3 linked regions of the Macaca mulatta genome follow. The protein of the gene in region 3 interacts with the protein of the main gene of each other region in a pairwise test. Links are inferred from orthologs where the notes say so. Each region holds a gene or a part of one and is shown on either strand. Other genes may lie near its edges. The genes, in order: PHOSPHO2, PHF1 and NAB2.

The links.
Region 1: the proteins of NAB2 (region 3) and PHOSPHO2 interact in binary tests that used the Homo sapiens proteins (3 or more experiments, as listed by UniProt). The two-hybrid records come from large-scale screens. The link is inferred for Macaca mulatta from reciprocal best matches to the Homo sapiens genes NAB2 and PHOSPHO2.
Region 2: the proteins of NAB2 (region 3) and PHF1 interact in binary tests that used the Homo sapiens proteins (3 or more experiments, as listed by UniProt). The two-hybrid records come from large-scale screens. The link is inferred for Macaca mulatta from reciprocal best matches to the Homo sapiens genes NAB2 and PHF1.

The regions. Positions count from the first base shown.
Region 1 is NC_133417.1:74,621,789-74,624,403, forward strand, and holds the end of PHOSPHO2 (pyridoxal phosphate phosphatase PHOSPHO2), read left to right. Parts: intron 1-1,332; 5' UTR 1,333-1,358; coding exon 1,359-2,084; 3' UTR 2,085-2,099; downstream 2,100-2,615. UniProt on the Homo sapiens protein: Phosphatase that has high activity toward pyridoxal 5'-phosphate (PLP).
Region 2 is NC_133409.1:148,867,550-148,871,701, forward strand, and holds the start of PHF1 (PHD finger protein 1), read right to left. Parts: upstream 2,867-4,152; 5' UTR 2,653-2,866; intron 1,649-2,652; 5' UTR 1,633-1,648; coding exon 1,474-1,632; intron 1,389-1,473; coding exon 1,307-1,388; intron 1,201-1,306; coding exon 1,105-1,200; exon of another isoform or gene 779-1,104; coding exon of another isoform or gene 775-778; intron 695-774; coding exon 594-694; intron 481-593; coding exon 332-480; intron 155-331; coding exon 59-154; intron 1-58. UniProt on the Homo sapiens protein: Polycomb group (PcG) that specifically binds histone H3 trimethylated at 'Lys-36' (H3K36me3) and recruits the PRC2 complex. Involved in DNA damage response and is recruited at double-strand breaks (DSBs).
Region 3 is NC_133416.1:64,244,458-64,248,765, forward strand, and holds the start of NAB2 (NGFI-A-binding protein 2), read left to right. Parts: upstream 1-1,448; 5' UTR 1,449-1,482; coding exon 1,483-1,565; exon of another isoform or gene 1,566-1,566; intron 1,567-3,338; coding exon 3,339-4,212; intron 4,213-4,308. UniProt on the Homo sapiens protein: Acts as a transcriptional repressor for zinc finger transcription factors EGR1 and EGR2. Isoform 2 lacks repression ability.

The sequences.
Region 1 (2,615 bases), on a different chromosome or scaffold from region 3:
ATCTTCCACGATGGTTGAACTAATTTACACTCCTACCAACAGTGTAAAAGCGTTCCTTTTTCTCCACAACCTTGCCAGGTTGTTTTTTGACTTTTTAATGATAGCCGTTCTGACTAGTATACGATGGTATCTCATTGTGGCTTTAGTTTGCATTTCTCTAATGATCAGTGATGTTGAGCTTTTTTTTTTCTTTCATATATTTCTTGGGCACATGTATTGTCTTCTTTCAAGAATTGTCTGTTTGTGTCCTTTCCCCACTTCTTAATGGGGCTGTTTGTTTTTTCTTGTAAATTTGTTTAAGTTCCTTAACAAGGAACTACATGATTCTTACCAAAAAGGATTGTGGGCAGATTTTATGAGCAGAGTCTTTAAATATTTGGGAGCTAAAGGTGTAATATAAAATGAAAAGCGCAGTGACATCAATGCCTTTCACTTCAGGGATGGTATAATTTTTCAACTTTATAATAATTGCTGGATATTAGACCTTTGTCAGATGGATAAATTGCAAAAATTTTCTCCCATTCTCTAAGTTGTCTGTTTACTCTGTTGATAGTTTCTTTTGCTGTGCAGAAGCTCTTTAGTTTAATTAGATACCATTTGTCAATTTTTGCTTTTGTTGCATTTGCTTTTGGCATCTTTGTCATGAAATCTTTGCCTGTGCTGTGTCCTGAATGGTATCACCTAGATTTTCTTCTAGGTTTTTTTATAGTTTGGGTTTTACACTTAAGTCTTTAATCCACCTTGAGTTGATTTTTGTATATGGTGTAAAGAAGGGGTCCAGTTTCAGTTTTCTGCATATGGCTAGCCAGCTATCCTAGCACCATTATTAAATAGGGAATCCTTTCCCCACTTGTTTTTGTTAGCAAATACCTTTTTTAAAAAATTATTTTACATCTTGCAAGATTTCATGGTATGTTAAATTTGTTCAGGATTTTGGGTAGTACACAGAGAATCCTTTATACATGACCTATTATTTAATATGAGGATTGTAAATATTTTAATCTAATAAAATAAGTGTGGTTTGATTGATAATGTGATCATAGTAAGAATGCCTTTTTTTTCTTTCTTATAACTCCTATAAGAAACACACCCCCAGGAACACAATAATACTATGAATGTCCTTTTTATATATTTTGTTTTCCACTTAAAATACTCAAATATGAACTTTGCTTCTTAGAGAAAAGTGGTTAGGTAGTGGTCTCGAAGTGCTTAATCACTTTGTTTATATTCCTTCTTTTAACATATTAACATTTAGTTATGTTTATTAAATAAGTGTTTTAGTTAGATATGTAAACAGAGTTTGTTTAGAGAATAATATTTTTTCTTTTTCAGGATAATCCATATCTACTTCTGGAACCATGAAAATTTTGCTAGTTTTTGACTTTGACAATACGATCATAGATGACAATAGTGACACTTGGATTGTACAATGTGCTCCCAACAAAAAACTTCCTATTGAACTACGTGATTCTTATCAAAAAGGATTTTGGACAGAATTTATGGGCAGAGTCTTTAAGTATTTGGGAGATAAAGGTGTAAGAGAACATGAAATGAAAAGAGCAGTGACATCATTGCCTTTCACTCCAGGGATGGTGGAACTCTTCAACTTTATAAGAAAGAATAAGGATAAATTTGACTGCATTATTATTTCAGATTCAAATTCGGTCTTCATAGATTGGGTTTTAAAAGCTGCCAGTTTTCATGATGTATTTGATAAAGTGTTTACAAATCCAGCAGCTTTTAATAGCAGTGGTCATCTCACTGTGGAAAATTATCATACTCATTCTTGCAATAGATGCCCAAAGAATCTTTGCAAAAAGGTAGTTTTGATAGAATTTGTAGATAAACAGTTACAACAGGGAGTGAATTATACACAAATTGTTTATATTGGTGATGGTGGAAATGATGTCTGTCCAGTCACCTTTTTAAAGAATGATGATGTTGCCATGCCACGGAAAGGATATACCTTACAGAAAACTCTTTCCAGAATGTCTCAAAATCTTGAGCCTATGGAATATTCTGTTGTAGTTTGGTCCTCAGGTGTTGATATAATTTCTCATTTACAATTTCTAATAAAGGATTAATTAATATGCCAGCAATTGCAAAGTGTATCACTTAAGATTAGGTTCAGCAGCATAAAACTAAAACCCCAAATACCAGAGGCTTAAAAAAAACAGACAGAGAATTTTTTTTTCCTCTCACATAAAAGAATTCCAGAGGTAAGTATTTCAAGTTGCTGTATTAGTCTACCAACCTCAGCACTTGGCATTCAACCCTTGATCCAAGGTTGCTGGTGAAGCTCTAGCCCTCACAGCAGCACTCTGGCCAGCAAGGAGGGCAGTGAGAAAGTTACATTCCCTGTCTAAAGAAATTTCCCAGAAGTTGTACCCAATACTTCTATTGAAGTATCATTGGCCAAATTTTGTCATAATGCCTTACTTGTAAATAGCAAAGAAAGATGGAAAATACAGCTTTCATTCCAGGTAGTCACGTGCCCAGGAAAAGTTGGGGGAAAAAGTACAGAATTGAGGTAGGTACAGCTAGTGGTCTCCACTAAAGGTGGTTGATAGGTTATATTTTTAAATTTATTTCTCGAGCAAGTAAGCATATTTTAT
Region 2 (4,152 bases), on a different chromosome or scaffold from region 3:
CTGAGGGTGGAGCACGAAGAGAACACCTTGGCTTCTGGAGAGTCTGCCTTGGTCTCACCTGTCCCCATAGAGGAGGGGCTTGCTCAGACACTGGGTGCAGGCCTCATGGAACCACTGCAGGCAGCTCCGGCACTGCAGCATTTTCAGGTTCCACCTGAGGGGGAACATAGGACTTCTGGCCTCCAGAAACCCCCTTCCCCATAACTGCCCCAAACCCTAAACTTACCTCCCATCCCCCTGAGTGCTACCCTCATCCTGTTCTTTTTCCTTCATTTCCTGGGAGGCACCACCACATCATTCATTCCACAGTCTGCTCCCCCTCATTACTCACTCCCCAGGGCCACCACAGTAACAGTAACTCTGCTGTCGGTTGCTCAGATGTCCAGCATCCCAGTCCAGCCCCTTCAGTCCATATGGCAGAGAGAGCTTCATACCCAGCATGGCCCGGGCATAGGGGCCCTTCTTCAGGGCACCTCCCCTCTGCAGAGACAGGACAGGTGGATGACTTCAGAGGGGTGGGGAGAGGAAAAGGCTTGGGAGAGGATGTGGATGGGAGGCTCTCACAGGAAGGGGTAACAGGGAAGTGCCTTTACCTTGGTGGCGATCGCAAAGACACACTGGCGGCATACCCAGGATGTGCCCTCTCCCTCTCCAGGGGCTGGGGCCCTGGGAACATGGCAGTCCTGGTGATAAGCTGAAGAGTGATAATGTTAATAGTAGACCACTTATTGCATACCTGTGTGTGCTTGGTATTGGGACAGGAATAGTCTTTACCCATCTCATTTAATCCTTGACCATGTTCTTGATGAGAGGGTACATGATCCTTATTTTACGAGTCAGGGAACTGAGGCTCCTAGAGGTTAAGGGACTTGTCCAAGGTCATATGGTTAGAAAAGGATGCAGTTAAATCATCCTCTGCTTGCAAAGGTTACACCACCCCTTTCCATGGCTGCTTCTCCCTGGGCTGAAAGGGGATGAGGACTAAGATAGGGCTAAGCAGCCTGGCCAGAGCAGTGGCTTGGGGACTAAGGCCACGACAGGTGACATAAGGACCATCCTGGAGGGAAGAGCAAGCTAGACCATTCAGGTGACCTGCCCTCTCACCATGGCGACACTTCTCACAGCTGACCAGCCGGTTCCCAGGGACCACAGTCTCAGAGCGACAGACACAACAGAGGAGTTCCTCCCCAGGGAGGGCAGCTGTGAGAGAACACAGTGTCACGGGGCCTGCCCTTAAGTCTCTTTCTGCCCCTCTAAGCCAGGTTTGTTTTCCATGGGATGTGCAATCTCAGGTCTCTAGTCTTACCAGGGCTAATGTCTTTCCATAGAACCAGAAACTGCGAATCATCCTCAAACTGGACCAGACACACCTCTCTAGCACTGTCCACCTGGAATGGGTGAGCAAAGAGAATGAAATGGGAACCAGAATTAGATAAGGGAAATAGGAAAAAGATCAGAGGTAGAAGGTCTTACCTTTTTGATGGTACCCAAGTATAGCAGCCCATCAGTCCATCTGGCCAGCACATCTTGACCCTCCCAAAGTCGAGGCCTGGGGCCAGAGGTGGGAGCAGGAGAAGCTGGGTCCCAAAGTGAGGAGGTACCAGAGCGGCTCAGCCGGGGGGGCTGCGCCATTGCATCCTGGGGGGGCCTAGCCAGAAAAGAAATGGGGAGGAGAAGGTTATGAATGCTCAGAAAGCTTCCCCATTTTTTTTTTCTGAGATGGAGTTTTGCTCTGTCGCCCAGGCTGGACAATCTTGGCTCACTGCAACCATCACCTCCTGGGTTCAGGCAATTCTCCTGCCTCAGCCTCCCAAGTAGGTGGGATTAAAGGTCTACCCACCACCACGCCTGGCTATTTTTTGTATTTTTAGTAGAGAGGGGGTGTTGGCCATGTTGGCCAAACTGGTCTCGAACTCCTGACCTCATGATCCACCCACCTCAGCTTCCCAAAGTGTTGGGATTACAGGCGTGAGCCACCGCGCCCGGCCAACTTCCCCATTTTCTTTGCCTATTTTGCCGTCAAGAATGAAGGATCTGTGCCCCCATCTCCAAATCCCTGAGACACCTGGATAGGAAACCACCAGGCACCCATCACCAGCTTCTTGAGTCCTCTTTCAACTCTAGTGACTGGCTCTCCTCACGGTAACTGCCCTCCCCCCAACCCCAAACCTAGTTGCTAGTTTCCCAGCTTCCAGAGCTCTCCTGGGATATTATATCCTGGCCTTGAAATTTTAGGAGAAATTACGGTTGTAGAAGCAAAGGCTACCACTCAGTTTAGAGGTATCATAATTAGGGTGTCCTGTTGCCCAGAGATGTGTTTTGGGACCTTTTCTGGAGATGTTTTCCAGAGCAGAAACGGCTGTCTCCCCAGGCCTGCGTGTCTCATTAAGAACAATCATCCTGGTGCCAGGTTATGTCAGGTCACCCTCAAATTCGGGGCTCCCTGCCCCCGGGTTAGACAACTTCTCCGAGTGCCCCGGGAGGGGGGCGTGTCCCAGTCCTGGTCTCCACTCCCCAGGACCGCAAGTCCGAGAAGGGACTTGAGTCGGCCCAGCTCGGACCCGAGGCCAAGGCGGCGAGGCTCTCCCGCCCGCGCCCCGCGCCGACCCCCGGCTCCCTGCCCCCCACCGGCGCCTCCTGCCGCCTCCTTACCGGTGACAGCTGGGGCCGCCAGGAGCCGGGCAGGGGCAGACGTAGGAGACCTAGGCGAGTCCCCCGCGCGGAGAGGGCACGTCCGGGCGTGGGGGGGTTGTGCAGGCGGAGGCCGGGGGGTCCCCAGGCCCAGCCCCTCCGTCCCGGCGGCTCTGGGGCGTATGACGCAGCAGCCAAAGCAGCAGCAGCGGCAGGAGGAGGAGGCGGCGGGGGGGAGGGAGGGGAGGGACGGACCGGTTGGGGGGGAGGGTGGTGGGAGGGGAGGACTGGGGGGAAGGAGGAGCCGGAGGGGGGGGCGGGCACCACCTCACCCCACCTCCCTCACCTCCGACAGGCCTGGAGGGTGCCGAGGAAGAGGCAGGCCCTCCACGGCTTGGGAAGCAAAGAGTCGGACCCGGTGGGAGAGGGAATCCCCTCAGCCCCTTCCTCCGACCTGAGACTCGCCCTTGGGGCACGAGGGAATCCCCCCTCCCGGCAGCGCGCCTCCGGACTGGTCCCCCGCCCCATGCCACATCCGTTAACTGCCCCACCCCCCATGGTCACTCCAAGTCCCGCCCCCCGGCCCCAGTTCACGGCCCCGCCCTCCATTCACCCTTCTCGATGCCCCCACCACGCCCTCCTCCCTCGCGCGCCCCGCCCTCCACTCGCCGTTAGCCCCAGCCCCGCCCTCCCCGTGGCGAGTCGCGCCCCACCCGCCGCCCTTTTGCGCACGCGTGTCCCCTCCTGCGCGCGGCACCTGGGAGGACTGAGCTCCTCCTTCACGGGGCGGCGGCCGTCGGCGGTTGGCGAGAGGGAGTCGGCGGGCGTGCGCGCCGCTTCCCGGGTACGTCCCGCCCCGTGCTTCCAGGGCTGGCGCAAAGACGAAGGGGGCAAGGACCCGAGGCGGTGACGCCACCGAGAGCCAGCCAATGGGCAGCGAGCGGGCAGAGCCCCAGCCGTTCGAACGGAAAGGCAGGGAAAGGGCGGGAGGAAAGAGCCAGCAGTTTGGGAGCGCGCGCTAGCCCCGCCTCTGGACTCCGGGGTCCGGTCCCCATTTGCCGACACCCACCAAAGGAACGTTGCTCCCTGGGGCTGGGGTGGCCGGCGGAAGGGTGAAACTTATCTAGATAACTAGTGACCAAGGAGAGGGCGTGGATAGCTAGAGGGCACGCCTCCCTGATGTGAGGGACGGGGGAGGGGGTATTAGCAGAGGGGAAAATGATCCAGACCATGGTCCAGAACCGGTGAGCTAAGGAGGGGAAAAGCCCAAGCCCTCAGCCCCCGCTCCCGCCTCCCACACAAACGTTTGGCAGAGGGGACAGATCACAGCTCCCACCTTTACAGATATGAAAATATCTGCCTTCTTGGGCAGATAAACCTTTATTTAAAAAAAAAAAAACAACTATTCTTTATTTGATAGCCCTGGGACATGGTGCCCTCTACCCAATAAAGCACCAGCCAGCAACCCTCCCACTCCTCACCCAATACATACACATACAGATACAGACACACACACACACT
Region 3 (4,308 bases):
GACTAGGGGAAACCTCACCTGTGGCCAGTCCGCTGGCTTCCCTTTGTCCCCCACCAGCCCCCCTTTCCCTGGGGCTTAGAGCCTTTGGGCCGGGCCCTCAGAGCCCCCGCCTCCCCCAACAGCCCTCCCAGCCGTGGGCGGGAGTGCAATGCGAACCAGATGGGGCTAGGAGAAACCAAAGGGGGAGACGGTGGTGGGTTGCAGGAGGTGGGGGACTAAGCTCCTTCAAGGCGCTCCTCCCTCCAGCTCCGCCGCAGGAAGTCACGTCGGAGGCTCCCGACCTCTTATCTTCCACTTGACTCTCGGGCGAGGTCCCTAATAGACGGCCCCAGGAAGGGTATCGTCTTTGTCTCAGCCTTGCCACACAAAATTCCCAAGCAGGGCCTCATCCTCAGCAAACAGAGGACAAGTGGAGGAATCCCTGCCTGACCTACGCGCTGACAAAACCCGATGCGTCTAATCAACACGCGCACCTAAGTGGTGGCATGCAGCATAACCCCCCCATCCCTGTTTCCCAAACTTTTCCAGGCTAGCATGGAGGCCTCGGTTTCTGAAAGCTGCCCCCTCAGATTACTCCACTGGGGGGCTGGGGAGGGGCGCGGGGATATCTAGGGGATCCCTGCAGAACCCCACGCTCTCAGGCCTGCCTTAAGTGCACACATATTATGGGAGTCAGATGCACACACAGGAGGAGCCGCACACCCCAGCCTTCGCGAACTTTTCCCGACTGACTCCTAACATTCACAGGTCCAGCACCACAAGGCCTGAGTGTGGGCAACGGGCGTCCCCGTAGTTGTTTAGGCGCGTGTGCACGTCCGTGCGCTTCTTTGTGTACTTGTGCGTGGTTGTGAAACTCCTCTCAACTCGGAGGAGTGGGGGAGACTAGGAATGTCGCCGGCGGGGCGCTCACGTGGGTACGTGGGCGCCAAGAGGGCCGGCTGTGCATCCGGCGTGGGCGGCACAGAGCGACCTCGCCCCGCCCGCTGGGTCCCCAAGCCCGCCCTCCACAGCCGGGTCTCGGTCACCTCGGTCCCCAATTCGGCGCCTCGGCTCTGAATCCCCGCCCCCGCCTCCTGCTCCACACCCCCTCCCCCCAGTCTCCGCCTCTCCCAGTCTCTAAGCCGCGGCGTCTCCGCGGCCGAGAGGCCCTGGTGCCCGCCCCCCGGCCCCCGCCCCCACCCCCGCCCCCGGCTCTGCCCACGCCCTCCGCCCGCCAGCCCGGCAGCCAGCGCAGCGCCGGGCCTCGCTCCCCGTGCGTCCTGCGGGGGCGGAGGCGCGGAGAGGCGGCGAGCGCAGCCGGGGAGGGTGGGGGGGGCAGAGGCACAGACAGAGGCGCGGAGGCTCGGAGAGAGAAGACGTGGAGGGAGGGACAGAGCCTGGACAGCGGTGGACACGGCATCGTGCGCGGGGCAGAGTGCAGCACGCAGCAGGCGCCGAGCGCTGGGCACCGAGAAGAGCAACCCGGGTGGTCTCCGGCCGTCCATGCACAGAGCGCCTTCCCCCACAGCCGAGCAGCCGCCGGGCGGAGGGGAGAGCGCCCGCCGGACCCTGCAGCCCAGACTCAAGTTAGTGGGCAAAGGGAGGCAGCGGGGAGTGGAGATGGGTGGAGCTGGACTTGGGAATGGGGTCCAGAGGGCGGAGGTCGAGGGGAGGACGTGGGGAAGCGGGACGGGGGTGGGGGGTGGAGACTGATGGAAAAGGGGGTGCGTCTTCGAATTAGGGGGCCCTGGGAGCAGGCAAACATCTGATGAAGCTGGATATGAAAGAGTAGTACCTAAATATCCATTCCTGGTTTACTCTGTGGGCTCTCTCTGGCCTAAGTGCCCCCTGTAAAGAACGTGGGAGCCTCCTAGCACCAGGGAATGCCCTGGAGCTCGAGCTGGCGTCAGTGCGGAAGGTGGGGGGACGCTCAGTTGCCTCAGTCCCTCGTTGGCACGGAGCGCGCGGGCCCCCGGGGTCCAGGAGAAGGCGGTGCCTTTGAGTTAAAGGACCATCAGCTGGGGGAAGGGGGGTGACGAGGGAGGCAGGGAGGCCTTAGGCAGTTCCTTCCTATATCTGTCCCTTTATGCACAGAGTGGGGAGGGGAGTTTCAGTGTGCAGCCCCTTCTGCAAGAGGCCTTGAGCCTCTCCCCTACTCCACTTGAAGATGCGGGTGGAAAATAAGGGAGAGGAGAGTAGGCGGGAGCCCCTGGGCGGTTTTCGCCCACAGACGCTACCACTGTGGGAGTGTGTGTGGGCGGAACGGCCCCGGAGCAGAACAATTGCGCCCCTCCCCCTGCCGCAGCCCCTGAGCTGAAGGAAAAGGCCGACTGAGGAAGTGGGGAGTGTCACTGCTAGGAGAGGGGCCACTGAGGAGCACTGGGCAGCCTGGAAGGGTGGAGAGGTCCTGGGGGGAGAGAGGAAGCGTGCTGGTTAAGAATGCTTAACCAGGCCATTCTTAACCAGGCCGGGCGCGGTGGTTCACGCCTGTAATCCCAGCACTTTGGGAGGCCAAGGCGGTTGGATCACGAGGTCAGGAATTCGAGACCACCCTGACCAACATGGTGAAATCCCGTCTCTACTAAAAATACAAAAATTAGCTGGGCGTGGTGGCGGGCGCCTGTAATCTCAGCTACTCAGGAGGCTGAGGCAGGAGAATCGCTTGAACCCAGGAGGCGGAGGTTGCCGTGATAGCGCCACTGCACTCCAACCTGGGTAACAGAGCGAGACTCTGTCTTAAAAAAAAAAATGCTTAATCCCTCGGAAAAGCTGAGCGGAGAAGAGCAAGGCACCACCTGGCTCACTGAGTGGGAAAGCCAGGGAAGGTGCCACACCCTCCCTCCTAGCCACCTGGGGCTGTGGCTACTTCACAGGGAATGAAGCTGGCCAGCAGCGTCCACTGTGCGGGAGACGGGTTCTACGTTCACTTTAGTATAGGCGACTTCACTTCAGTGTTGAGACTGCTGAGTGTTTAGGGTGGAAGGTGAGGATTGTGTTTTGGGGGAGAGGGAGGTCCAGCCATCCGAGGTCGGTGCTGGTTAGCCTCAGCGCTCAAGTTCTTCTTACCTCAGACCAAAAAGATAAAAGCTGAAGATAAGGTTTAAGAGGCTTCGACTCCTGCAGACACAGGGCACTGGTTTTTGGGGCTTCAGGCCAGTCTAGGACAGCACTGGCTTGTCCATGCCTCTGAGCAGTGCCTGATTCTCAGAGTCTGTACTCAGACCTGGGCACTGCGCAGGACAGCATCCAAATGAGAGAGGGGAAGAAAAGCAGGCAGGAAAGAGGGAACAATTGTTAGTGTGGGTTGGTACCCAGTAGGGGACTTGCACCGACTGCCTCTCTCTTGTGCCCCTCCTCAGGCCCAGTGCCCGAGCCATGGCACTGCCTCGGACGCTGGGGGAGCTGCAGCTGTACCGGGTCCTGCAGCGTGCCAACCTCCTTTCCTACTATGAGACCTTCATCCAGCAGGGAGGGGACGACGTGCAGCAGCTGTGTGAGGCGGGTGAGGAGGAGTTTCTGGAGATCATGGCACTTGTGGGCATGGCCACCAAGCCCCTCCATGTCCGGCGCCTGCAGAAGGCACTGAGAGAGTGGGCCACCAATCCAGGGCTCTTCAGTCAACCAGTGCCTGCTGTTCCCGTCTCCAGCATCCCGCTCTTCAAGATCTCTGAGACTGCGGGTACCCGGAAAGGGAGCATGAGCAATGGCCATGGCAGCCCTGGGGAAAAGGCAGGCAGTGCCCGCAGTTTTAGCCCCAAGAGCCCCCTTGAACTTGGAGAGAAGCTATCACCACTGCCTGGGGGACCTGGGGCAGGGGACCCCCGGATCTGGCCAGGCCGGAGCACTCCAGAGTCGGACGTTGGGGCAGGAGGAGAAGAGGAGGCTGGCTCGCCCCCCTTCTCCCCCCCTGCAGGGGGAGGAGTCCCTGAGGGGACTGGGGCTGGGGGGCTGGCAGCAGGTGGGACTGGGGGTGGACCAGACCGACTGGAGCCAGAGATGGTACGCATGGTGGTGGAAAGTGTGGAGAGGATCTTCCGGAGCTTCCCAAGGGGGGATGCTGGGGAGGTCACATCCCTGCTAAAGCTGAATAAGAAGCTGGCACGGAGCGTTGGGCACATCTTTGAGATGGATGATAACGACAGCCAGAAGGAAGAGGAGATCCGCAAATACAGCATCATCTATGGCCGTTTCGACTCTAAGCGGCGGGAGGGCAAGCAGCTCAGCCTGCACGAGGTGAGAACCCCCAGGCCTCCTAGGATTGACCTTGACTCCCGGGCCTCCAGCCGCTTACTTCTGCAAGTTTCTACGGTCTCCAACTCTGTTTCATTA